Linked DNA regions of Oryzias latipes. The protein of the gene in region 1 interacts with the protein of each later gene in a pairwise test. Links are inferred from orthologs where the notes say so. Each region holds a gene or a part of one and is shown on either strand. Other genes may lie near its edges.

Region 1 (13,001 bases):
GGGTGACGTCTCACTCGCTCTGTCCAGTTCTCTATATGCTACAGTTCAGTGGCTCATTGCAGCCCAGCGGCAACCGTTTCCTTTTTTGTTGAGGATGATTTAAAAGAAAAAGTAACTGTAGTCAGATTAGTTCACTGAGTTACTTCTAGGGGGCTTGTGGCTCTCCGTTCCCAACAGTCTGGCTCAGAATGTGATTAGACTTATAAAACCGCTGCACTGGGGGGGAATTTCTATGTTCTACCAACTCTGTTTTATTTATTTTTTTATTGATGCTGCTCTCAAATGTGTGTGGCTACTTGATTGATCGGAAACTTTCAAATTCTCTGGGCGTGTTCCAACCGCTGACTGTATGAGAACTGGACTGAGTGTGACGACGCCCACTAAAAATGCTTTACTCCCGTCACCAACCAAAGGAATTCAATTAAGTCCCAATTTTTCCATGTTACGGACGCCGCCACGTTGGAGCCAGCCGACGACAGTGAGCGGCGATTGGTCCGGTCTGAGTCAAGGTTTTTATGGCCACCACTCTTGCGAATCAGGAGTGAGCTTCTTGTAAAGCCACACCCCTTCTACTTGAAAGTGGGCTAAGGAGAATCTGTCAGTCTAACGGTACTATTATTGAGGCATCTGATTGGTCAGTTTATGACTCGAATAACTTGCTCTACAGAAAAAAGAGGATTATCCAGAACAGGTATCAGAGCAAGAATGGGTGTTCTGACCAATAAAATGACTGAGTAACAGCTGTTTACTTCTAGAAGTCTACAGGATTTTAGCTTCTTGGAGCCAGCAGGTACTTCCTGTTTGGAAAGCGAGGTGGGAGGGGTCACACAGTCCAGTTCTCAAATGTATAGTCAATGGTTCTGGCAACTGACAGGTGTGGTTGTCCCGCCCATTTTGCTGTTTCTTTTGGAACAGTTGGGGCTTGATGATGTCAACAAGATGGCGTCAGAAGTGAACAATGGCTTCAGATCAGTTTATTTGCCCAACATGACTTCAGGGTTTTGGGTCACATCTGAGCCGGACCCAAAAGGGGTTTTGATGTGTTTAGGAGACAAAAAAAAGGTTTAAGTTTTCTGAACTTTAAATGAAAACGAACAAAAAAACATTTGAACCCAAAAAGATAAGATTTTTGGTAGTTTATCAGTGAGCAACAACTTTCCTCTGTCCTATCAGCACCATAGTCAGAGGCTAGAAATTCCTAAAGCTGGTGGATTTTAATACATGAGAAGTCGAGATAAAAAATAAGAGCTGGGAAACCTGAGCTGTGTGTCAGCAGGGGTCTGACCTGAGCTTTTTGACTCTAGAAAAGATGGGAACTCTGTTCTTTTGTAACCATGCATGCTCTGAAGTCGGGTCAGTGAAGCATGCTGGGAAGCGTGCAGGTCCATGGCTGCTGCTTGGTTCAAGTCAGTTCTGGCTCTGACAGGGAGTCACGCTGACTAATCCTGATTATCCTGTCAGCTGCCTTTGATCAGCACAGCTCAGGTTTAGCTCCAGGACAAAGGCGCCGTTTTCCCCTTTTCCCAAAAACACAAGTGACTCACTTCCTCATGTTCTGCTGGTTTTCTGTGCAGAAGCTTGCTTCAGCCCAAACATTGAATCCTGCTTTTTCCTGCGCCCACTTCCTGTCTTGCTGTTTCTGCAGATTGGATCGCAGCTGAGTGGGTGTGTTTTTCAGAGGTGACTGACTGAAAGTTGTGTGTGTGTGTGTGTGTGTGTGTGCAGGTTGGCTGTGAGGCTGACGATGTGGTGGGAACATGGAGCCTCCTGAGTACCTGGACCTGGATGAGATCGACTTCTCTGATGATTCAGTGGTCAGTATCTCGAGCAGAAACGACACAAACTCAACCGGCGTCTTCCCCACACCTTTCTACCTCAATGGGCTTTTCTTAAACCTTAGTCCCAGCTGCTCTTATGGGTGGATACATGCTGTCAAACCCGTGGGGGGGGGCACACAGGGGGCTCGCACAAAACTTCAGTCGTAGACAACTCGGTGAGCCCGTAGAGAGAAAATGTTCATGCACATTTTTTCTACGGGCGTGCAGCAGGTGGTCGTAGTTAAGAGATTTTTGTAGTTATACTTTTCTATATACTTTTAAAAGCAATTCAGTCACTACTTTTTTGTTTTTTTAACAGTGATGATGATGTCATCAATTTCACGAAGTTGAAATTGTTTGTTAAAGAGGTTTTGCGATGACCATTTATGAATCCACTATCTTCTGAAGGTTAAATGGTTGGTTTATTAAAAAAAAACATTTAAATACATTCTTTTGGCCAAAACGCAATGCATTGTGGTCTATATTCGCTAATCCAGTGAGCATCGATGCACACTAGTTTTTTCGCAGAGACACTCGATTTTCGAATTGTAGATCCAAACAAGCACTACAAAAAGTCAAACGCACTATGTAGTGCGATATGTTGTGAGTCGTGAAGGGATTTGCACACAACACTTGTGTTCTTATGACCGTGCAGACAGGAAATGACATCATAGCGGGGTCACAGGAAGGGTCACTAGGGTTGAAGCGGTTTCTCCTCGCCCGTTTAATTCCTGCAGCTTGGTGTTTATATGATGAGCTCAGGGTCTCACTGCTCGCACCCCCCGTTGTCCCGCAGTACGCCGTCTCCTCCCTGAAGAGCATCCCTGCGCTGTCCCGCAGGAGCGATGTGCCGGCCGAGGACAGAGCAGGTGTGTTTGATCCTGCCTCTCTTCCCTTGGCGCTCACCGCCTCACACACTCACCTGTTTTCCTCCCGCAGCTCCGCCCATCAGCTGGGGCCGCAGCGTCTCCTCACACGGCGGTGGGGGGATCAAACCGGGGGGGCTGGCTGAGGTCCACAGTAAGTTTCGGCCGGTGAAGAGGGTGTCCCCCCTCAAACACCAGCCCGAAACCACAGACTCGGACTCTGAGGGGAAGGACCAGGCGCTGGGGGAGCAGGAGGAGCTCGGCAAAGATGGCCCCACCTCTGTCAAGCACTCCAACCCCCCCACACCGCTGGATGGGTCTGGGATGAAGGTGAAGGGGCCCAGCAGCAGCATGGGGGAGGGGGGCGGCCCCCAGGCTCTGTTCGGGGAGCTGGAACACTACGACCTGGACATGGATGAGATCCTGGACGTGCCTTATATCAAGTCCAGCCAGCACGTGTCCACACTGCCTCGAGCCCCCCTCGACAAGCGATCTGTGATGGGGGGTAATGCGGGTGGGGGCACGCTGGAGAGGAGTCGAGGGGGGGTCCTGAAGAGCTCCGGTCTGCCCCATAATGAGCCTGTGAGTTTGGGCAGTAGCTCGCAGACGCAGGTGAGTCCTCTGTCAGAAAGTTAGTCTGTTTCAACCCGCCCAAACACACACGCCCCACCTCCACCTACACAATAATGGGTGTAAAACATGGGGGGGGGGGTCTTAAACCTGTGCTGTCTCTGTTTTCCTCCAGTTCTGTGTTCTGTCTCCGCTGAAGTGGTCAGATCTACGGAAGTCCAGGTCCATGGATCCAGACCTCCACCTCCTCAACCGTTCTCCAGGTGGGGGGGGTTACCAGCCGGAGCCTCTGTCCTCCTCCCTCGCCTCCTTCTCAGATGCAGGTGGGGCCTCAACCTCTCCGCTCTTCCCACGTAAACACAGAAAGTCACTAATCGGACTCGTTTCCAGACAAGCTGCTGTCTGCTCGCGTCTTCCCGGACTCCCAGAGACCCCCCATGGATCCTCCGGGGGGGTCAGGACTGGTCTTCCCCCTGCCGGGCTGCAGCTTGAGCAGGCAAGACAGCACCAAGGTGAGGACCCCTAGTGCTGGAAGTGGAGCAGTGGCACTGAGAGGCTTTGGAATAGCAGGAGGGGAGGTGGATGAGGAGACCAAAAAGAAGCAGAACATCATCAACATCGTCAGGGAGGGGCAGATCTCACTGCTGGTCAGTCACACCCTCACTGTTTATTAACAGGCGTCCTCAGCGCTGCCTTCCTCACCTGCATCCCCCCCCCCCCCCCCTTCTCCTCCTCAGCCTCACCTGGCGGCAGACAACCTGGAACTGATCAGGGACGAGGATGGAAACAACCTCCTGCACGTCTCCGCCTCCCAGGGCCACGCCGACTGTCTGCAGCATCTCACCTCTCTGATGGGGGAGGACAGCCTGAACGAGCGCAACAGCCAGCAGCTGACGCCCGCCGGCCTGGGGGTCAAGGTCAGTTCCTGTCACGGTGTGCCAGGTCTGCGCCCAAAATTGTGTTGATGCAAACACGAGTGGAGATTGGCTCAGAGAGGAAGCATCATCCTGACTGAATTCACCCCGACTGTGTGCAGAACGGTCATCTGGAGTGTGTGCGGTGGATGGTGAGCGAGACGGAGGCCATCGCCGAGCTCAGTTGCAGCCGAGAACATCCCAGCCTCATTCATTATGCGGCTCGATACGGTCAGGTACGATCCAACGTCAAATCAGAACCCAGAAATCTGTTCCTGTCAAGGACTTTATCCTTCACACACATGAAATGATTTCACACAAAGACGCCTGTCGTGGGTCAATAAAGGCAGAGGCGCCAAGGTGAAAGTATTCCTGTGTTTAATGCAAGAACAGAGCACAACAACTGCTCCACAAAGGCCAACCAACATATGTTTCTCCACCTAGACTCCCACACTCCACTCTGACACCTGTAACAGGTCCTCTTTAAAATGGTAAGCCCCTCCTCCAGGGCGTAGCTCTCCATCAGTCCAAAGGAAGAAGGAAAAGAGTTTTACATTGTTCAAAAACATAAACATTCAGAAACAAACAGTTTCATACAAAGAAACATTCTGTGTTCATTACAAAGAAATTCCAATAACCCTTAATAAAAATAAATACAAACAAAGACCGATGCGTCACATGACCCGGTGTGTCGATGACCACTTCAAGGTAAACAAATGAACTCTAATGATGGCGTCGTGTGTGATTCGTGTAAATGTATGCGTGAGGATGATGAGTCGGCAACCTAGTGTGCTACCTGTAGGGGAATAGGAACGGAAAGAAGAAGGTAAGTTAATGTAGATGATGTGTTTACTGGTCCCTGCGTGCGCGTCAACTGCTGTTTTGAAGGAGCCCCCCTCCTCAGCATCCGTCTGTCTGTCTGTGTGTCCAGGAGAAAGTCCTGCTGTGGCTGCTTCAGTTCATGCAGGAACAGGCCATCTCTCTGGACGAAGTGGATCAGAACGGGAACACGGCCGTCCATGTGGCAGCTCAGTACGGACACCTCACCTGCATACAGGTGAGCTGAACATCCTGTAGTGACGAACACGTCAGTATCAGGCAAAGATTCATTTGTCCAAACAAAATTCATTTCAAATCCATCAAATAACATGTAGAGACTTTTTGTACCACGACTGAGAAGTTTTTCACCTTTTTGTTTTGTTGACTAAAAGAGGAATAAGGAGAGCAGCACCAAGACTTGTAAATGAGATTCTATGGATGTTCAGGATCAGCAGGATGGTTTTCCGGGTGTAACTACAGCTGGAAGAAGTTACCACAAAAACTAGGCCGAGTGCACTTCAGTACTGTGATCCGCGGCTTTGCTTTTATTTTGAAAATAACTAAATAAAGAGCCAGTCACTTTAAAAATGCTTCAGACTTTGAGGAGTTTCTGTCATAAACAAAGCTCCATACGTTGTTACTGCATTTTTCCCATGATCCCGTCTCGCTCATGAAGCCATGACATCCTTCCTGTCCATGAATCTCATGCCCAGACAAAACCTCTACTCTGAGAGTAAACCAAACAGGAAGTGTGGAAGCAATCGCTGTAAAACTCAAACTGGCGGAAAGAACGAGTGAACTGAGTCTTTGCAAGCTTCATCAGCTCTCGTCAGACTCCTCCTGGTTCTGATCTGAGCTCACTTGTGCGCAGACTCTGGTGGAGTACGGCTCCAACGTGACGGTCCAGAACCAGCAGAGCGAGCGGCCCTCCCAGAGTGCTGAGCGGCAGGGCCACACCACGTGTGCCCGGTACCTGGTCGTCGTGGAAACATGCATGTCGCTGGCCTCGCAGGTGGTCAAACTCACCAAGCAGCTCAATGAGTAAGTTGTCGTGTGTTTGGGTCAGGAAACCTGTCCAGAGCTGGTGGACGGAGGGAAAAGTGTCTTTGACGATGCAGAAGCAGTGAAGGCGCCTTGAGCTCCTCTGGCGTTGCTTTGCAGGCAGGCGGCAGACAGGGTCAGCTTACAGAAGCAACTCCAGAGACTGATGGACCCCAACAAGGGAGAGGGGACGCCATCCAGATCTCCCAGGTACCACAAACACACCACAGACTAAACTTCACAACTTTAGGACTCACTGGTGATGCCAGCGTTGGTTCGTGACGTCTTGATGTCTTCAGCAGTGGGTGGAGTCCAAAACCAACATGGAGGTGAATCTGATCGGTTTCCTCCTGGACTTTATAATATTTGTCTTATTTGCATCGAGTCAATAATGAAAAGTTCCTGTAATTTTATTTTTTCCCCTCCTCGGACTAATGTGGGACAGCAAGTCATCAAACTGGGTCACAGAGAGACGGAAGTAGCGCTGAAAGCGTCCGTCATTCAGACGCAGCTCCTGCAGGAGACGGTGAAGCTCACCGCCTCTGATTGATCTCTGAACCCAGACATGGAGACGCGATTACCGGTGCTTTTGTAGAGCTCTTCAAAATAAATAAATCTGATCTCCGAACATCATCTGTGTCATCCGCAATGTAACGATGAGGCTGAACACTTTTGCAGTAGCTCCGCCCATATGGGGCGGAGCGGCAGATGTATGAACACAAGTGTCCAGCCGTGAATCGGAAGCCCGTCTGAATAAAGGCAGAGGACGCAAATTTAATAAGCCAATTGTGTTTGTGAACACAGCATCATCTGTCCCATCGCTTTACTTTACTTTACTTTGAAAATCCGTTTTGAATGAGAAGAAAACACAGAACGTGAAAACTATGGAGGGAAAAAACAGCCAAGCTTCGTTAATTGCTTACTTTCATAAATAGTTCTTGGAATAAGTTTATATCAGAGTAACAATACTTAAAATTAGTTATCTGAACCGACCAAAAACACTAGAACCAGTTTATTTCCAGTTTCTGTCTCACTTCTTTGTGTGAAACAGATCTGAAAGGTCAAAGGTCGGAGGTGATTCTCAGTCGTTTTTCTCTTCTACAGTCTTGACAAAACACTTCAGTTGAACGATGTCCAGGGATCCATTTACTGTCTGATCCATCCTCGTCTCCCTCTTTGAACTCCAGCTCCCATCAACCCTCAGTGGAGGCGTGGCCAGAGATGATGCTGACAGCGGAGGGGACGCCCGGCGACACCCACTGGTCAGTTCGTCAGGGAGGGGTGGGGCCCGATTCTGTGCTGCGTCAGCTGCTGGGAAAGGACGTGCCTGACTCCCTGTGCCCCCGGGAGAGGCTGCCCCCCCCGGCAGGCCTTGGAAGAGAGGGCCCCGGACCCGCTGGGGGCCGCAGGCTCGGACTGGTGGAGAGGCGGGAGCTGAAACTGGCCAGGCTGAAGCAGATCATGCAGCGCTCCTTAAGCGAGTCCGACTCGGATGGGTATCCACCCGAGGAGGGCAAGAACCAGGGGGGGGCGCACCCAAACACGCAGAGGCCGGATAGGCCCACCCACCTGCCGATCGCAGAGGAAGAACCCGGACCAGACTCCCTCCACCTTGTGACGAAGAAGCAGCTCTCTGCCCCCTCCTCGTCAGCAGAGAGGAGGCTGGCCTTCTCTCTGAACGGATCCAAGTCTGCAGACAGCATCGGCGTTAACTCCTCCCCCACCTCCAGCGACCCCGAAGCTGCTGACGGGAAAACTCCGGAGACACCCAACGACGCGCATGACGGACAGAAAGTCGCAACCAGCCCCAAGAGCGCCCTAAAGTCGCCCTCATCACGCAGGAAAACGTCCCAGAACCTCAAGCTGAGGGTCACCTTTGATGAGCAGGTCCACAAGAGCTCCAATCAGGAAGCAGAGCCTTCCAAAGGCCCGCAGGGGCGGGGGGGCACCTCAGCGGGGGGCTCCGAAAGCAAGCGGCCGTTCGGGGCGTTCCGCTCCATCATGGAGACGCTGAGTGGGAATTCCAACCACAACAACAACAATACTCAGGCAGGCTCCGCCCCCAAACCAGCCACCTGCCAGGGCTCCCCCAGCAGGAAGTCAGAGGGCAAAAGCAGCCCAGGGGGCGGAGCCAAGAGCAAGAGCAAAAGCAGTAACGTTTGAGGAAGCTGATGAGGCGAATCCTCTCACTACTTAATGCCACTATAAAGGGCGTTTGCCGTTTTTTTCGGGGTGTCCAAATTCTCAGAGTCCTGAAATTTTCCCAGAAGCCTTTGCTGAGAACCAGACTGGCAAACTGGAAAATACAGACCACAATGCATTGAATTTGAACAGTTTTTTTAATTAAAAATGTAAATTAATGTTTCATAAATCATCTAAATTTTTATTGGAGAACCCAAAAAGATTCATAAGTGACTTTTTTTAAAATGTTGATCAGGTTTTCACTTGAGAAGATGGGTGACGTCATATTTAAGTTCAAGTGAGCACGAGTCAGAGCTGCACTGAAGTCCAGCGATAGTCCTGCACCACGTGGTCGTTTAGGGAGTCGGGAGGGAAGCAGACACAGAGTTCATCGCCATGGAGAGGTGCAGGTGGGCGGGGGGGCTGTGTCTCTGTCCGGGGGGGGGATCCTCTGAGCTGTTTGTTCAACTGGATCATTGCATTGACTGTAAATGAAAACTGGACTGAGTGAGTGTGAGGTCACCCATGGAGAAGAACTCACTTCCAGTTCCCGCAAAATGAAGTCGGACCACTTTGGAACCAGACATTAGTTAGCAGTGATTGGGCTGAATCGACGTTTTTCTATGGCAACCACTTGTGCCTGTTGGAAGGCCACGCCCCTTTGGGCTACACCGCATACTTCTATTGAGGCATCTTAAAAAAATATAAACAGATGAGGATTATAAAGAAAATGTTTTTTAAATAAAGGCATCAGATCCAGAAAGGTTCTTGTGACCAATGAGTAACGACTGTTACTCTATAGACGTCTACGGGATATTGGCTTCTTGGAGCCAGGGGGTACTTCCTGTTTGGAAAGCGAAGGAAGGGTCTCAGAGATTGGCAACTCCAGACATCCGAGCGCTACTGGTGACGGATTACCTGGTTCAGGTGTTTCCAGCCAACGGGAACATGCCAGAGCGGGGTATGTTGGAAAACATGCATGCGGCCCTCGAGCCGCCCATCCTGGAGTTATATGCCATAGAGAGGGGGGGTTAGAAGGCTTCAAATGAGCAATGATGATGATGATGATGAAGGGGCGACATCTTTGCTGGCTTTCTGAATCAATTCAGACTTACAGCAGCAATTCAGTCAAATTCTGGTTCTTTTACTCATTTCCATTCAAAACGTCTTAAACTTGTTAAAATGATTAAAGAGAGGATGTGCAGTTTGAAAAAAAATAATGTTAAAGCTGCTTTTGCCAGAAAAAGATGAATTTAAATGGATTCAGTTGATTTTCAGAGTCGGCTCTCCTGAACAGAAACGGCTGTGAGGAAGAGCTCTGCAGGATGAAGGACGTTTGGATTTAGTTTGAATTTGTCACTTTTGTTTCTTCTATTGAAAGGAAGAGTCCTTGTTCTTTTTGACTTATATTTATGTTTCTGCACACAGTTATGATTTATGATAAACGTGCACAGTGTTAACATGTAACAGCACAACAGAAAACCACTGTATATATATATATATGTTTGTATTTAAGTTTTCTTTGCTTTGACTTGTGTTAAGGATCTATGCAGTATTTTTGCATGAAGTAGATAGGTAGGTAGCTGTGTGATTTTCAGACGGGGGGGTTCAACGATGCACCTTCTACCAAGTATTGATGGATGATGAGGATGATGATGAAGGCTGAGAAACGTTTAATTGTAAGTGAAGCTCCTCTCCTGACTGAAAAAGTGAAGCTGGACTCACAGAAAAGCTGCTTTTCAACATCACTAATGAGAGCTTTAGCCTCTTTTTATGGAGCTGACTTTGATCTGACGTGTTTACAATAAACATTTGAGGTTTCAAAAGAAAAAACATCTTTGTTTGAAGCAACACCGATCAGTTTATTACATTTCTATTTCCAATTAAAGTGGTCTGGTTATGAAAAATGAATTTTCTTAAAGCCACAGAGGGCATTCACACCGGCACAGACGACGGGCTGCAGACGAGATGACGTCATCGACCAAATAAGCAATTTCCCCAAACCGTAACCCAAAAGTGTTCAGAATTGTAAAAGAAACATCGGCCAGAGGGTCTGCAGGACCGTGTTTGCTGCCCTCAGGTGGACAGCAGTTGGAACTGCAGGATGGGTCCAGGTGGTTTCAGTCCTCACTTCTCTAGCCCTTGTGCTATCAACGGCACATTAACGTTGGAAGTGGGGTCCAGATGACCCCACAAGACGGTGAACCTTTTTTCTTCAATGATTTTTGATCCTCACTGGTTTCCAAGGATTACATGAAATCCTCTCCACCTTTGTCAGGGTAGCGATAACACGTCAATGTAAAGGTGGGGTCAGGACCCCCCCCCCTCCCCGTCCGATTGAGATGGATGCCTTGTGTGAATTGTTGTGTCCTCTAATTTAGCGAGCGATTCATAACGCCGCCTGAATGTTGGCCGCCCCCACCGCCGCAGCAGGATCAGAAATGGTCACTTAACGGCGTGCGATTTATGGTTTTTGGAGGACAAATTGGCCTTTGATGGTTCCCACGCGGCGGGCAGCGTTCCCCAGGGGCTGCGAGAGGGGGGGGGGGGCTGTAATGGGGCCCCTTCATCATGGCCGTGCATATGAAACATGAGCCCCACAATTAGTGAATCAGCACGTTAACCTGGGGGGGGGGGGGTCCCCGCCTCCAAACGGCCCCCCCTGTCCAGCAGAGGTGAAGTTAAACTGATAAATTAGGACTCGTTCATTGAACAGCAGTCTGAGTCGATGCTGGGGGGGGGCTCTGCTACCACTAATTGGTTGGCTGTGTTTAGATGGAGGGTTGGGGGGGGGGCACACAGAAAGTGGCTGTGTTCCGACACGAGCGGCAAAAACGGACGAGACGAGCGTTGGAGCTGACAGCCGTTCAGACGGGTGTGGGGGGGTCATGTATGGATTTTTCTGTCTGTTGTTTCGGCTTATTTGTGTGCTTCTTTTACTCAGTCAATCAAATTTAATTGACACCGCTGGGCTGTGGCCGGGGGCCCCGCGGCATGCTGGGATGACAGGCCTTTAATGCCAACCACAGCAGAGGAGGTTCTTCTGCCGGTGAAGGGTGGACCGTCCGGGGGGGGGGGACAATTCCTCAGACCGTCAGTGGCATTAATTGATGCGATGACGGCCATGATGGATACCAACCATCCCAACCTTTATGAAAAACGCTAATTAGACGCCTGCCGCTCTGCCCAGACTGCTGAGGATAAACACCATTCATCTTCTGTGGGGTGGGGGTAAGGGGGGGGGGCACACAGACAGACACGCAGCATCATTGAGATGCAGATCTTACATGTAGTTGAAGCGGCAGGAAGGAGGGTCCCTGTTTTATCCCCAAACCTGGAGCCAGATTTGCTGGAGGGGGGAGGCTCAGACCCATAGCGATGAAGGCGACCGAACCCAAACCGAACTGGGACTTTCCTCTGTGCTGCAGCTGCTGCACCTGATGCCCCAAACACGTTTTCTTTAAACAGTCAAAAGGACTATTTTGTTATTGTTTATTCAAATATTTGGTGCTCCATCTTTCTGCTTCGGCTCTGTTATGGTGTGCAGTTCCCCAACGGGACAGCAGGGGGCAGCATTGTAATTCAGAATCACTGCCAGAACCAGTGGACCTCATTTTTCTGGCATTTGGCCGCTGAAGTGACGGTGGTTCTGCTGATCCGAGCCTTGTTTGTTTGTTTGGTTTCCCTCATGACCCCCACCCCCCTCCCCGCACCACACAGACGGGCTCAGGCCGCTCTGAAATGTCAGAGATGCATCTTTGTAAAAGTAGAAGATCCTCAGAGCTTCGTGTTAAAAGGATGAGAAAAATGCAGGAAACCATGGCAACGGCTTCTCTGATGTAATCCTAAAACTAACTTTTTTGTTGTTCTACAACCTACTGTAATCAACTTAGAAATGTTTTTCTTTTCCTGCATTTTGTTTGCAGAAAATATCAAATATGCCCTGAAATGATGCCAAAACTTACATGGATTCATTAGAACAAAATTAGATTTTGTTTGTTTGTTTACATTTAGGTGGAAAACCTCAGATCTGGCTGAAGATCTGGAAGAAGCTTCTAGATCTAGATCTTCACCGGTTCTTCTCCAGATTGGCATCACTAAACTCAACATGAGGGTTGGGTTTTGGTAAAAGCTGAAAGCCCAATGGAAGATGATGAATGTTCAGGAATGTTTTCTTTTCTTCTCATTGATGAAGAGTTTTTATGGATTTCTGAATCCCAATACCGTAATGAAGTTCACCTTTGCGAGACTCTTGATTTCTTCCTTGATGTCATCCAACTGTCAGTCGAGTCCTGTTTCCCTGAAACCAGTGTTTGCCCCGCCCCCTTTAATGTCTGCTGACTGATCTCTATGAACCTCCGTCACGGAGCTCAGTCCCGCTGAGTCCCGATTGGCTACAGAGTCGGTTCCTCAGGAAGCCCTCTTTGTCAGGTGTGAATGCTCACCTGAGCTCCGGATTGGACCAAACAAGTGCGCTGCGGTGCGGTTCACTTCAGTGTGAATGCAGACGGACCAAAGAGAAGAAGAGAACCAAAGGGAGTAGAGGAAGCAAATTTGAAGATGCATGTATTCAAATAAATAGATCAAATGTCAAAACACTCAGGGGGTACATGTGGTGCAGTGGAGAAGTTTTTGGTTGTCTTTGAGAGTCCAGACCTTCACTGAAGACCAGCCTGAAAACCTGAGCCATCAGAGAAACTTCATCTGAAAAATGGACGGAGACTTCTGGCGTTCTGGCGTTTGTTTTTCTCCTCAGACATGCTGCTTGTGTAAAGAATCCTGATCCGGAACAC
Region 2 (11,937 bases), on another chromosome or scaffold:
ACCGCGCCTCCGCGTGTCTGTGTGCTCGCGCAGAGATCAGCACGGAGGAGGAAGAGGAGGAAGCGGTGTGGAGGATGGACGTGTTTGACCTCAGACAGCAGTACAGGAGCTGCAGGGAGAAGCGCCAGGAGGTGCTGCTGCCCGGGACAGGTGAGCTACTGCCTCTGTTAAGATAGTTTGCTTTGTTTGCGCACGAAGATGAAGCGGCACGCGGTGGGAAATGAAAATCAGAGGAAAGAAGCTTTATTGACAGAGAAGTGTTAATTTTCTGCAGAAAGGATTACCCCCAACCCCCACCGAAATGTATTTAAGGGGTGGGGGGGTGGGGGGGGGGGTTGTGTGGCAAGCAGAAAGACTCAGAAAAGATGTTAACAAAGGTGTTTAATTTTTTTAACAAAGGCTGCATGTCATAAACAGATATAAATTTACATGTTTATTTATTTAGTTAAATAAAAGCCCCTACCCTTAAAGGATCTATATCATGCTTTTCTTGAGCCTATTCCATATATCAATCTTTGGATATGTAAAAAACCCTGTACATCCCCTCTCCCCCTCCTCATGATGAAATGAAAGAAAAAATCTCACTAAATAACAGTTTTTTACCACAAAATGTGCTATTTTGATCCTTTTTTCTGAATAGCTTTATGCCTTTTATTGTATCTTCCATATTTCCATATGTATGATCATATTTTACCTTTAGCACACCAAAGAGCGATCTTTTAAATGAAATGTGAATTATTTTTGCAACTAATTTTCCTAACCAAAAGTAAGAGGACTATATATCTGAGGCTCCGCTTTTTACTCCTTGTGGGTGCCGCCCATTTCATGACAAGTTAGGTTGTCTCCGAATTCCCACGCTAACCCCTAACTACCAAAAAACGATAACTGCGGCACTATCTAGTGCCCCGAATTGTATAAGTTATTCAGACACCATGCTCACTACTTTTTTTTTTAACAGCGGATATGACGTCATCGATTTCACAAAGTTAAAATCTAGTTAATGAGCGTTTTGCGACGATTACTTATGAGTCCACTGTCTTCCGAAGATAAAAAAAACATTGATGATTTTTTAAGAAAATACATTTAAATACATTTTTTTCTGGCAAAAATGGTTCCAGCGCAATGCATTGTGGTCTGTATTCACTGATCTAGTTTTTTTTTTTTTGCAGAGACTTCTGGGAAATTTCTAGGGCGCTCGATTTGGGACTTGTAGATTTGGACAGCACTACAAAATGGCGAACGCACTATAAAGTGCACTATATAGGGGTTAGGGTGGGTATTCGGACATAGCACTAGAGTCAGCCTCAGCAGCGTGTCTGCATTTCATCCACAAAAACAAACAACATCCGAACTTATGCAAAGATGGATGTGCATATTGGGTGGACAACCCATCCCTCCAAATGCCCCTACAGTTGAAGGGATAGGGAGAATCCGTAGGGGAAAAATTCAGATTCGCCCTAATAGATCTGTAATTTGTCTTCGTTTTCCTCGCCTGACCTGGAATCTGGCTCTAAACTGTACGCTGGAAAGCTCCAAAATTCTGCCATTTTTGTTGCAGCGCTAATGTTAGCTTGGGGCTGTAAGCTAGTGGGAGAGAGTATTAATAAAGGCATGATGGGAAATGGGTGCAGTTTTACTCCCTGCCAACAGTCCCTGCCAGGACTCAGAAGTGAATTTCTAACTAACTCCTGCTGCTCTGCAGAAACTATGTCCTAGAAAATGACATAGGAATTTTGATTTGGGCTAAAAATGACATAATTATAATTAAAAGACGGCTGGGAACACTTTTACAATAGATCAAAAGATGATTGGAGTGGAACTTTAAAGTACTGTCTGATCTGCTTCCAGTGTCCGAGGAGCGGTTTGAGGCCTTCAGCATTGTCCCTGTTGCTCAGGGTTTAACTCTGCCATTGGAACCAATCAGCTCCATATCTTCAACCGCCAATTTTGACTGCGACCCAAAGATGTATGACCCCTGGCACGTCCACCTGGACCTCCATCGGAGATCCCGACCTGCTGTCTCTGCCCAGTCACCGCTGTTGTTCAGGTGCACTGCTCGTCAACCTCCCTCATTTTGGTTCGCTTCCACTGCACTTCTGGAGAACAAAGATCTTCACATGAAACCGGATCTGTTTTTTTTTTCTTCTGTGCAGGCCTAGGCCTTCCTCTAAATCTAGAACCAGAGAACCATCAGGATCTCCTTGCAGCTCCAAAGAAACCTCACCCAGTGTGTTCTCTGCACAAGAAGAGCGTGTTTGTACTGACAGATCTGAGCTGCGTTCAGACCTTCAGTTTTATGGCAGACCTGGTTCAAGTCAGGTCCAGCGTTCTCTGGATCCCAGTGAGGAGGTTCCTGTCTCCTCCTCCTCCACCCTGAAGACCAAAGTTACCAACTCTGAAGAGACCCCTACTTTGGATAGTTTCTGCCCCCACCCTACCACTGAGGAGCAGGAGCAGAACCAGTCTTCTGGCTGGTGTTCAGCTCTGGTTCCAACTCCCAGGTTTGGCCGCCAGCTCAGTGAAGGAGGAGTCTGTTCGTCCTCTCAGAACCCTTTCCCATTCCCCAAACGGAGGCCTCCAAGGCTCTCTGAGGCTGCGAGGAGGCTTGGCCTGTACTCCCCATGAGAGCCTTGCACAACCTCATGAACCAATCAAATCCAAAAGCACCAGAACAGGAAGAGCTCAGACAACGTTTGAGAAGCTCGGGAAACAAACCAAGAACCAAATCAGTTCTTCTTATTTCCGGTTCCCTGATCTTAATGAGGAGGGTCCTCAGGGAGCGTCAACATATCCACCAATTAGTTCTCAAGAAGAGCCATTGAGGATCCCCTTTTGTGTTTAGTTTTGCAGTGTCCATTATAAAGAAAAATCAATAGTCAAATGTTGAGAGCATTATCCTGTGGTTCTGGTTAATCTTTACATAAATAAAATTAGCAAAACTTTTTTTGAGTTTTTGGTCTGTTGATCACACATCTTATGTTCAAAAAGAATACTTTTGAGTTTCAAATGCTTAAATAAAGTTAGTATAATATTTCCAGCCACATTTGTATACTACTTTTTTTAAATGTTGCTTTTTGAAAAAGACGGAGAAAGTTGGACCCTCGTCAGACACCGTAGTTTTGCCAAGATCATCTATTGTTGACGAGCTGATGGGTTGCTGGTTCCTCGCGGGCCGGAACTGGCTGGTTTTTCGGGCCGTGGTGCGTGTCGCGGATCTCTGAGGGTGTGGGGGCTCTTCTTGGGTCGCAGTTTCTCTGAACCGATCCTTGGCTTCAAAACAACATCGTCACGTCGCTCCACATCTGCAGGCTTTTGACTGTTTTGTCATCGTGACGGTTCCGTTCCGTAAACAGTCGAGGTGAGTTCTCACTGACATGTTCCTGTCCGATCCCGAACCAAACTTTCGGCTCAAAACGGACCCTTTAGTCCAGTTAAATGATCACAAATTTGTTAACTTTTGTTAGCGCAGATCTGTTGTAGGTCACACAGCCGCACCAAGTTATCCGGGTTGTGTTGAGCGAAACCTAACGACAGACTCAGAGGCTTATTTACGTAACTTAGCATTTCTATCGACATCTGATTAAGACAACAGTTTTAAATCTGCTCGTTTTCATGATGAACAGACGCATTCCTACATTTCCCAGAATGCAACAATGTCTTCCGGTCAAAACACCCGAACACCTACATAAATAAACATTTCAAATGATGAAACGACACAAATTAAAACATGATTGGGCAAATCTATAAGCTTTGATGTGAGTTCTGCCTGGACTGAGTGACCCCCCCCCCCCCTCGTGTCCCAAACAGGAAGTACCCGCTTGTTCCAAAATCCCATAGATTTTTATAGAGAAATAAACAGCTGTTAGTCATTTTATTTGTCAGAATAACTATTCTTGCTGTCGTCTGTTATTGATAATCCTGATATTTCTCCCTTTTTTCTTCTGTAGGCAAGTTATTCAAGTTATAAACTGAGCAATCAGATGCCTCAATAAAAGTATCTGGGCTCACGTCACACATTAAAAACGAATAACAGAGGCTCTGTCAGAATTCTGACCCCTATATAATGCACTATAGTGCGTTCGCCATTTTGTAGGGCTGTCCAAATCTACAATTCCCAAATCAAGTGCCCTAGAAATTTCCCAGACATATTTCCCAAAATGTGATTTTATGCTGAAGATGACCTTGTCCTTTCCTACACACATATACTGGTTTTAATGGCTGCTCTGTTTACAGATCCACGAATGTCTTTTTGTGGTGCTGTCTTGTTGTTAAAATTATTCATCTATCCATTTTCCAAACCTGTTGGATCCCTTTCGGGGTCACAGGGTTCTACTGATGGGCAAAGGTGGGGTCCACCCGGAACAGTCAGTCGCAGGAATGCACAGACACATGCACACCAATTTAGAATCATCAAATTAACCTATGAAGCATGTTTTTGGACTGAGGGAGGGGAAAACCCACACATGCTGTGAGGTGACGGTGCTAACCACTACACCACCATGCAGATCTTTTTCAAACTAGTGCCCTCCGATCTGTGAGCACCAAGGATGGCATTTTTAAGGATAGAAATCAACTCTTATAACTTTCGCAGATTCTGCTTAACGTGAAATCAGGAAAGAAGCGGGTCAGAAACCTCACAGTTGTGTGCGCAGTCCCACTTCCTGCTGGTGTTTTCACAGACCATGGCAGAGCAGAACATAGAGGCCAAGCTGAAGAACTTGCTGAAGCAGGAGAAGGTCCAGCTGTGGAGTCCTCCGTACACCGATGACGATGACCAGCCGGGACAGATGCACATGCAGGTCAGCCTCACACGAGAGCAGAAACTCTGCAGCTTTTATTGTGAAATAAAAAAAAAATACCTGTTTGTTTTCTTTTGTTCTAACATCCTGTTCCTTTGTCTGCAGGAGCTAGCACAGCGTTACGCTCCTGTGCTGCATCTGTCAGTCACAGAGTTAGGGGGCGCTCTAGAGTCCATCAGAGTACAGGCGGTGAAGAGGGGAAAGAGAAACAAGATGTTTAGAGAGACCAGCGTAGCCACGCTTGAACTGCTGCTGCCCAGAGACAGCAGGAAGGTGGGTCTTCATGACTTCTCCTTTATGCTTCAGAGAGGGTCTGCAGATGTCCTCTGAAGCAGTGATGTCCGTTTGTTTCCAGAATCTGAAGGGGAGGAGCTTCCTGCAGACGAGGCTGGACGTGCCGCTGCAGCAGTTGGTGCAGAGGTAAACACCCGAGGTGGAGAAATCACAGGTTAGGTCAACCCCCGTTTGAAGAGGGGGGGGGTTAACGTCTGTGTCTGTGTGCAGGATCAGGGAGGAGTTTGACCTTCAACACATCAAACTGATCCTCAATGGCAGAACTCTGTGCGCAGGTAAGACTATAAACCCGTAGGAACCAACAGGGACCTTCAGGAACCAGAGACATTGAGGAACCTGGAGACCCTCAGATGCAAAAGTTATTATACCAGTTAGCTTTGATGTAGAAGAACCTTGCATTTTCAGATCAGCGTCTGGATGAGCAGGGTGTGAAGAATCACAGTAAGGTGATGGTGCTGAAGGTGAGCGACTCTGAGCAGATGAACAAGGAAGAGCAGGAGAAGAAGGAGCAAAACGAAAGCCTTCAGAGGACCCAGAAAGGCTTCCAGATCCTGTCTGAGAGAGGTAGGCCTCAGTGCTCTTCCCTTTGGGAATTGGACATTTACATTTGAGATTGGGACGAAAAATATTTGGCTTCTATGGCTGATCTGTCTGAACCAGATGGCAGCGAGGATCCAGAGTCCGTGCCGTACCTGGAGATTGCAGACCAGAAGGGAAACCCACTAAAGATCCCACACCACGAGAAGAAGGTTTGGATCCTGCAGACACTCCTCTTCCTAAAGTTTTGTTCTTTAGATTTTCTTTCCACTCCTGGTTCATCAGTCTTTCATCTTGCAGCTCAATTGTGTTTTATGATCATCATCCTTGTTTGAATTCTGGATAATCTCAAAAACCTTTGCAAAACGTCGTCTAAGTCTACTACAATTATGCTTGGTCTATACTAAGGCAGGATACTTGAAGTTTACTATATATATTATCTATCTATACACTCAATGTATCAGCTCCACCTTGCTAGTACCGGGTTGGACCCCTCTTGCCTTCAGAACTGCCTTAATCCTTGGTGGCAGAGATTAAACAAGATACTGAAGACATTCCTCAGAGAGTTTGGTCCATATTGACATGAAAGCATCACACAGTTGCTGCAGATTAGTCGGCTAAACATCCATGATCCCAATCTCCCATTCCTAAGATCTGGTGAGTGTGGAGGCCAATTGAGTCCAGTGAACTCATTGTCATGTTCTACAAACCAGTCTGAGATGATTCCAGCTTTAAGACATGGCACCTTATCCTGCTGGAAGTAGCCATCAGAAGATGGATACACTGTTCAGAAAGGGATGGACATGCTCAGTAACAATACTCAGGTAGACTGTGGCGTTGGAACTATGCTCAGTTGGTACAGGAGCCCAAAGTGTTCCAAAAAAATATCCCCACATCATGACACACCTCCAGCCTGAACCGTTGATCCATGCTTTATGCTGTTCATGCCAAATTATCCAAATATTGCAGCAGAAATGGAGATTTATCAGACAAGATGTTTTTCCAATCCTCTATTGTCCAGTTTTGGTGAGTCTGTGTGAATTGTAGCCTCAGTTTCTTGTTCTTACCTGACAGGAGTGACACCCTGTGTGGTCTCCTGCTGCTGTAGTCCATCTATCTCCAGGTTGGACATGTTGTGGATTCAGAGATGCTCTTCTGCTGACCACAGTTGGAACCAGAGTTCCTTTGAGTTCCTGTTGTCTTTCTATCAGCTGGAACCAGTCTGGTCATTTTCCTCTGACATCAACCTGGCATTTCCACCCACAGAGCTGCCACTCACTAGATATTTTCTCTTTTTCTGACCACTCTCTATAAACCCTAGAGATGGTTGTGGGTGAAAATCCCAGTAGATCAGCTGTTTCAGAAATCCTCAGACCGGCCCATCTGGCACCAACAACCATGCCAGCTTCAAAGTCACTTCAATCACCTTTCTTCTCCATTCTGATGCTCGGTTTGAAATCGTCTTGACCATGTCTACAAGCCTAAACGCACTGAGTTGCTACCATGTGATTGGCTGATTAGAAATTTGCTGGACAGGATTGCTCAGATCAGTTGTCATGACTTGTCAAAGGTCACACTCTCAGTTGCACGTGATTTATGTGTGTGTGTGGATGTGTGTGTTCAGGCTCTGATCCTGGCCATGGGTCTCCACGAGAGAGGCCGTGCTCTCATGAAGAAGCAGCAGTACGACAGCGCTCTGTGTCACCTGCTGCAGGCTGACGAGCAGTTCAGGTACACGGCTGCACCTCCGCCCCCCTCCCCCTCCGGCAGCATCTCCTGTATTGAGTCTGTGTGTGTTTGTGCAGTAAGTGCGGCTCTGCGCTGCTCGCCTCGGTGGACAACTTCTCTGTCCTGCAGCTGGACATCGTGTGGTGCTACAGAGCTCTGGAGGCGCTAGGCTGCCTGGAGGATGGGCGCGGCCGGCTGCAGCGCGCCGAGGACGGCTTCCTGCGCTGCTACGGAGAGCAGCAGCAGAGGCTGCTCAGGATCCAGGTGAGACACGTGGGCACTCACGTGCACGCACAGGCAGATGGTGAGAAAAGGCTTCAGTGAGAAGTTTCTCTCTCATTATATGCCTGAATGGAAGCAGCGAGCAGGTAACCTTTCACTGAGATGGTTCAAAGATGAAGAAGGTTCATTCTCTTCATGACCTGCTGCCAAACATAAACCATCTCACAGATTCTGCTATTCTTGCAGCTGTGAGGTCTTCATGCTAAGATGAACTACTTTGTTTGATATATATATTATTTCATGCTCAGATTCAGCTTTTTACACTTTGAAGTCCCAATTAAATCATTTTTTGATCTCTTAAAAGTGTTCCCAGTGGTCTTTTTATTATGATTATGCCATTTTTAGCCAAATAAAAAAAAACTTTTTTTTTTTTTTTTGGGCAGTTTCTGCTGGAGTTCATTAGAAATTCATCTCTGAGCTGTGGGCGGGACTGTGTGCACGGAGCAACCCTCCCCCTTCCCATCCCTGTTGTTGAGAGCTCTCTGTTTATGTGCTCTCCCATTAGCTTACAGTCTGTCACATCCCCAACTTAACATTAAAGGTGAAACAAAAATGGCGAGCCATACAGTTTTGAATTAATTTTTCTTGTCTTATTTCATCATCATTAAGGGGCCTCTGTGGGCCCTCCCTCAGTCTGGGGCCCCTGGAATCAACCACCTTTACCCCTTTTCAGCAACCCAGCATACATGGATCTATTTGTCTGCAAGTAGACGGATCAGAATGGAGCAGAGCTGGGAGCTTGTGTTCAGCCCAGCGTATTTATAATACTTTGGGCTGTTTTTTTTTTCAAATGGCATTTCTTCGTCCACTCCTATTAACTATAATTTAAATAAAAAAAAAAGCAAATACAATTTTGATCGTAGGTTTCTTTATATATGTCATATATATATATATATATATATATATATATATATATATATATATATATATATATATATATATATATATATATATATATATATGACATTGTTCTCCATCATTAGAAAAATGCCCCAAGAACTTGTTCATCGGAGTGGTTCCTTAATCGTTTTCACGAGTAGATGAACGTCAGATGACCGCCACTGACGAACAGCTCCAGCAGAACTGCATGCAGCTGTCAAACAATAAATCACACATCAACTGGTTTCAGGGAAACTCTGGCCGAGAGGACGTTCTGTTCCTGCGCCTGTACCTCCTGCAGAGCCTGCTGTCCTACATCGAGGGGAACGACGCCCAGGCGCGCCTGCAGCTGTCCAAGGTGGGTCGCCGCAGCTCTCCTGACCGGCTCTGATGCAACGCAGCACTCAAATGTTTGCTTGTCTGTCAGGTGGAGTCCCTGTACGCCCGCCTGTGTCCGGACTCAGAGAAGATGGCTCAGCTGATGGCGCTCGGGTTCACCGAGAGAGAAGCTCGTCTTGGACTGAGGGCGTGTCACGGAGAGCTGCAGGAGGCTGCCTTGTACATCAGCAACCGCCAACAGGTCCCGCACACGTGCACCCACACGCCTGTGCTCTGAGATCATTAGAACGCCTGGTCTGAGTGTGTGGTTTCCTGCAGGAGCGGCAGGAAGTAAAACAACGAGAGAGGAAGAAGAGGAAGAGGAGGATGGACGCCATCTCCACCCTGACAGAGCTGGGATACTCCAGGAGAGATGCGGCCAGAGCATTGCACCTCGCTGACGGGAACGTGGACAGAGCCTACAATGTCAGTCTCACGTGCAGCCCTCCGTGCACATGCACGGGCACTCTTTGTCTCGTGCGCCTCCCAACTCATTGGTGTGTCTACAGATCCTGCTGGACTCCAGTCAGCCTGAAAGCTCCAACAACAACCTAGAGGAGGGAGTCGGTCTGGAGAATATTGATCAGGTGTGCCCTGCTCTTCCGTGTGTTTCAGTGTTTTTGTGTCTGTCATTGTGTTTGAGTTTGTGCCTGTCACTGTGTTTCAGTGTGTGTTTGTGTGTTTGTCAGCTGCTCTACCTCGGCTTCCAGAGGGACTCGTCTGAAGCCGCTCTCAGGTTGACGGCGGGGGACGTCCAGGCCGCAACTCAGCTGCTGCTGGACAACCAAGGTGTCCTCTCCCCAGAACTGCTGAGTCAGCCTCTTTCCTCTCTTTCCTCGCCATCGTCAGAGGAGCCCAGCACCTCCTCCACCACTCCAGGTAGAGCCAGACTCATTTGTCTGTCCACTTCTTCCACAATGGATTTTTAGCTGAAACCCAAACTGGACACGGGGAACATCAGAGGAGTTCTGTCAGAACCTGAGCAGCGTGTCTGTCAGTGATGGTCAAATTTTTGTTTTTGTTCTTTCAGAGGAGAGTGAGCTGGTCAACGAGGTTCTGGAGGACATCCCCCGTCATGAAGAGGAGTATCTGGACGTGACGCTGGAAGAGGAAGGCCAGCTTATTGCCACCTTAAAGGCTTACCTGAACCCGGGACCCGTGCACACCATTTGACGGTCACATGACCCGCTACGTGCGGAACAGCACAGCACCATCATGCTTCCATCCTGAATCCACAAACAAATCCCGAAAGTCCGGGTTTCAAGCAGGCTCTGTCTTTTTTCAGAGATTGTTTGACATCTAACCAATCTGAGCAAAAACAACAGATCCAGCCTGGGTCAGAACCGAGCCAGCCCCCGACTGATTCTGTGTGTGTCCCTCTACTGTGAGAAAAGTGAAGATGAAGAACAGCCATGACTTCTTCAGTGTCCTGCTCTGATCAACTCCTGGTACCCACCACAGATTGGACAATTTGAGGCAGACATCCACCGAGTCTTCCAGAACCTTCTGCTTATCAAACAGTGTTTGTAGATGAAGGTGCTGCAGAGTCCTGCTGCCTGTTTGTAGTTGCTGTACATTTTTGTGTGGACTGTCTCAATATTAAACATGACGGATTAACTTCCTGTTTGCTTGATAACTTGGGTTAGTACAGTGCTTCTCAATTATTTTTGCAAGGCCCCGCCTAGGAAAAAGCTAATGTTTCGCCCCCCCCCCCCCCCCCCCCCCCCCCCCCCCCACACACACACACACACACACACACACTCACTGCGGTGACACTATATTAGGTTAGTATGTATAAAAATTGTGTATCTTTTAACATTAACAGAAGAAAAAGGCGATATATAACTACACATATATCAAATATTAACTTCATTTTGCCACAGAAACACTGTTATTCTAAAACAGAAAAAAAGCTTAAAGTGCCTGATATAAAAAATCTGTCAGTCCTTATTAAAACTAGAATCATTTTGACCAACTGAACCATTTGATGCTAAGAAAAAATAATTCAATGAATAATTTTAAATGTTAATTGATCTGAAACATTAACACAGCAGCACCAATATATTTAACATTGTTAGTCTGAAGAAATTCATAAAAAACATTGTGCTGATTTTTTTTTCTAAATGACGGATTGTGTATTTCTGGTCTCATAAAGTGCAGCTGTTTCCTGCATTACCTGCTGTCTCCATGTCAAATACTGACACCAACTAAACGACAGGCAGACAAAGAATACATTGACGGAAAATAAAGACACGTCATCAAAATGTCTACAATAGTTACTAAAGAATGACATTATTTCAGTACCACACTGTGATATGGCCTGTCAAAAGGCTCTCATTGTATTTTGGTGTTTATACCAAACTTCCTTAAAAAATACAGTCTTTGTCCGACTTTCTTTACTACTCTGGATGTAAAGCAGGGGTGTCAAACTCCAGACTTTGAGGGCCAGCATCCTGCTGGTTTTCCAGAAATACTGTCTTATCTGCGATTGATTACCTGGATCGGGTGTGTTTAGCCAATAAGGATCTTCAATGGCACATACGTTGTAAAACATCACCTGGAGTTTGAGACTTGTGATGTAGAGTCCAGGACAAATTCTCAGTTATGTGGACACAGTGGAATTTGAAGCTGCTGACCTGCTCTACCTCAGCGTTGTTGATGTACAGTAGATGAAGGGGCGCTGGTTTTTACACTTTCTCCTAAAGTCTGTGATCATCACCTTAGTTATTAGAGCTTATTTTCCTCACACCAGCTGATCATTGATGCCATCTCTTCTCCGTAGGCGTCTTGACATTGTTGGGATGAGACCTAGGATGGTGGTGTTATCGGCAAACTTTAGGATGAGGTTGGAGCAGTGCCTGCCGGTACGGTCATAGGTGAATAGGAAGCAAAGGAGTGGGGGTCTACCTGTAGTGAGGACGTGTGTGGAGAAGAGGTGACTGCTAATTTTTATTTCTTGGGGTCTGTTGGTGAGAAAGTCTCATATCCAGTTGCAGATGAATGTCTCTTAACTCAGAGTGCAGAGAGGAGGGATACGAAC

What was found.
Region 2: the proteins of sncaip (region 1) and nub1 interact in a two-hybrid assay, tested with the Homo sapiens proteins (2 studies listed by BioGRID). The link is inferred for Oryzias latipes from reciprocal best matches to the Homo sapiens genes SNCAIP and NUB1.

What each region holds. Positions count from the first base shown.
Region 1 is NC_019867.2:29,611,816-29,624,816, reverse strand, and holds the end of sncaip (synphilin-1), read left to right. Parts: intron 1-1,237; exon of another isoform or gene 1,238-1,725; 5' UTR 1,726-1,757; coding exon 1,758-1,814; intron 1,815-2,613; coding exon 2,614-2,686; intron 2,687-2,756; coding exon 2,757-3,295; intron 3,296-3,428; coding exon 3,429-3,576; intron 3,577-3,643; coding exon 3,644-3,900; intron 3,901-3,990; coding exon 3,991-4,170; intron 4,171-4,289; coding exon 4,290-4,403; intron 4,404-5,098; coding exon 5,099-5,224; intron 5,225-5,857; coding exon 5,858-6,027; intron 6,028-6,147; coding exon 6,148-6,237; intron 6,238-7,214; coding exon 7,215-8,190; 3' UTR 8,191-10,041; downstream 10,042-13,001. UniProt on the Homo sapiens protein: Isoform 2 inhibits the ubiquitin ligase activity of SIAH1 and inhibits proteasomal degradation of target proteins. Isoform 2 inhibits autoubiquitination and proteasomal degradation of SIAH1, and thereby increases cellular levels of SIAH.
Region 2 is NC_019878.2:4,789,526-4,801,462, reverse strand, and holds nub1 (NEDD8 ultimate buster 1), read left to right. Parts: upstream 1-3,146; 5' UTR 3,147-3,358; intron 3,359-4,679; 5' UTR 4,680-4,682; coding exon 4,683-4,799; intron 4,800-4,904; coding exon 4,905-5,072; intron 5,073-5,154; coding exon 5,155-5,219; intron 5,220-5,303; coding exon 5,304-5,368; intron 5,369-5,498; coding exon 5,499-5,657; intron 5,658-5,753; coding exon 5,754-5,842; intron 5,843-7,254; coding exon 7,255-7,361; intron 7,362-7,435; coding exon 7,436-7,622; intron 7,623-8,769; coding exon 8,770-8,877; intron 8,878-8,946; coding exon 8,947-9,099; intron 9,100-9,176; coding exon 9,177-9,323; intron 9,324-9,406; coding exon 9,407-9,484; intron 9,485-9,564; exon of another isoform or gene 9,565-9,586; coding exon 9,587-9,776; intron 9,777-9,927; coding exon 9,928-10,070; 3' UTR 10,071-10,519; downstream 10,520-11,937. Other genes in the region: uncharacterized protein LOC101171205, read left to right, coding at 34-150, 1,849-2,047, 2,154-2,625. UniProt on the Homo sapiens protein: Specific down-regulator of the NEDD8 conjugation system. Recruits NEDD8, UBD, and their conjugates to the proteasome for degradation. Isoform 1 promotes the degradation of NEDD8 more efficiently than isoform 2.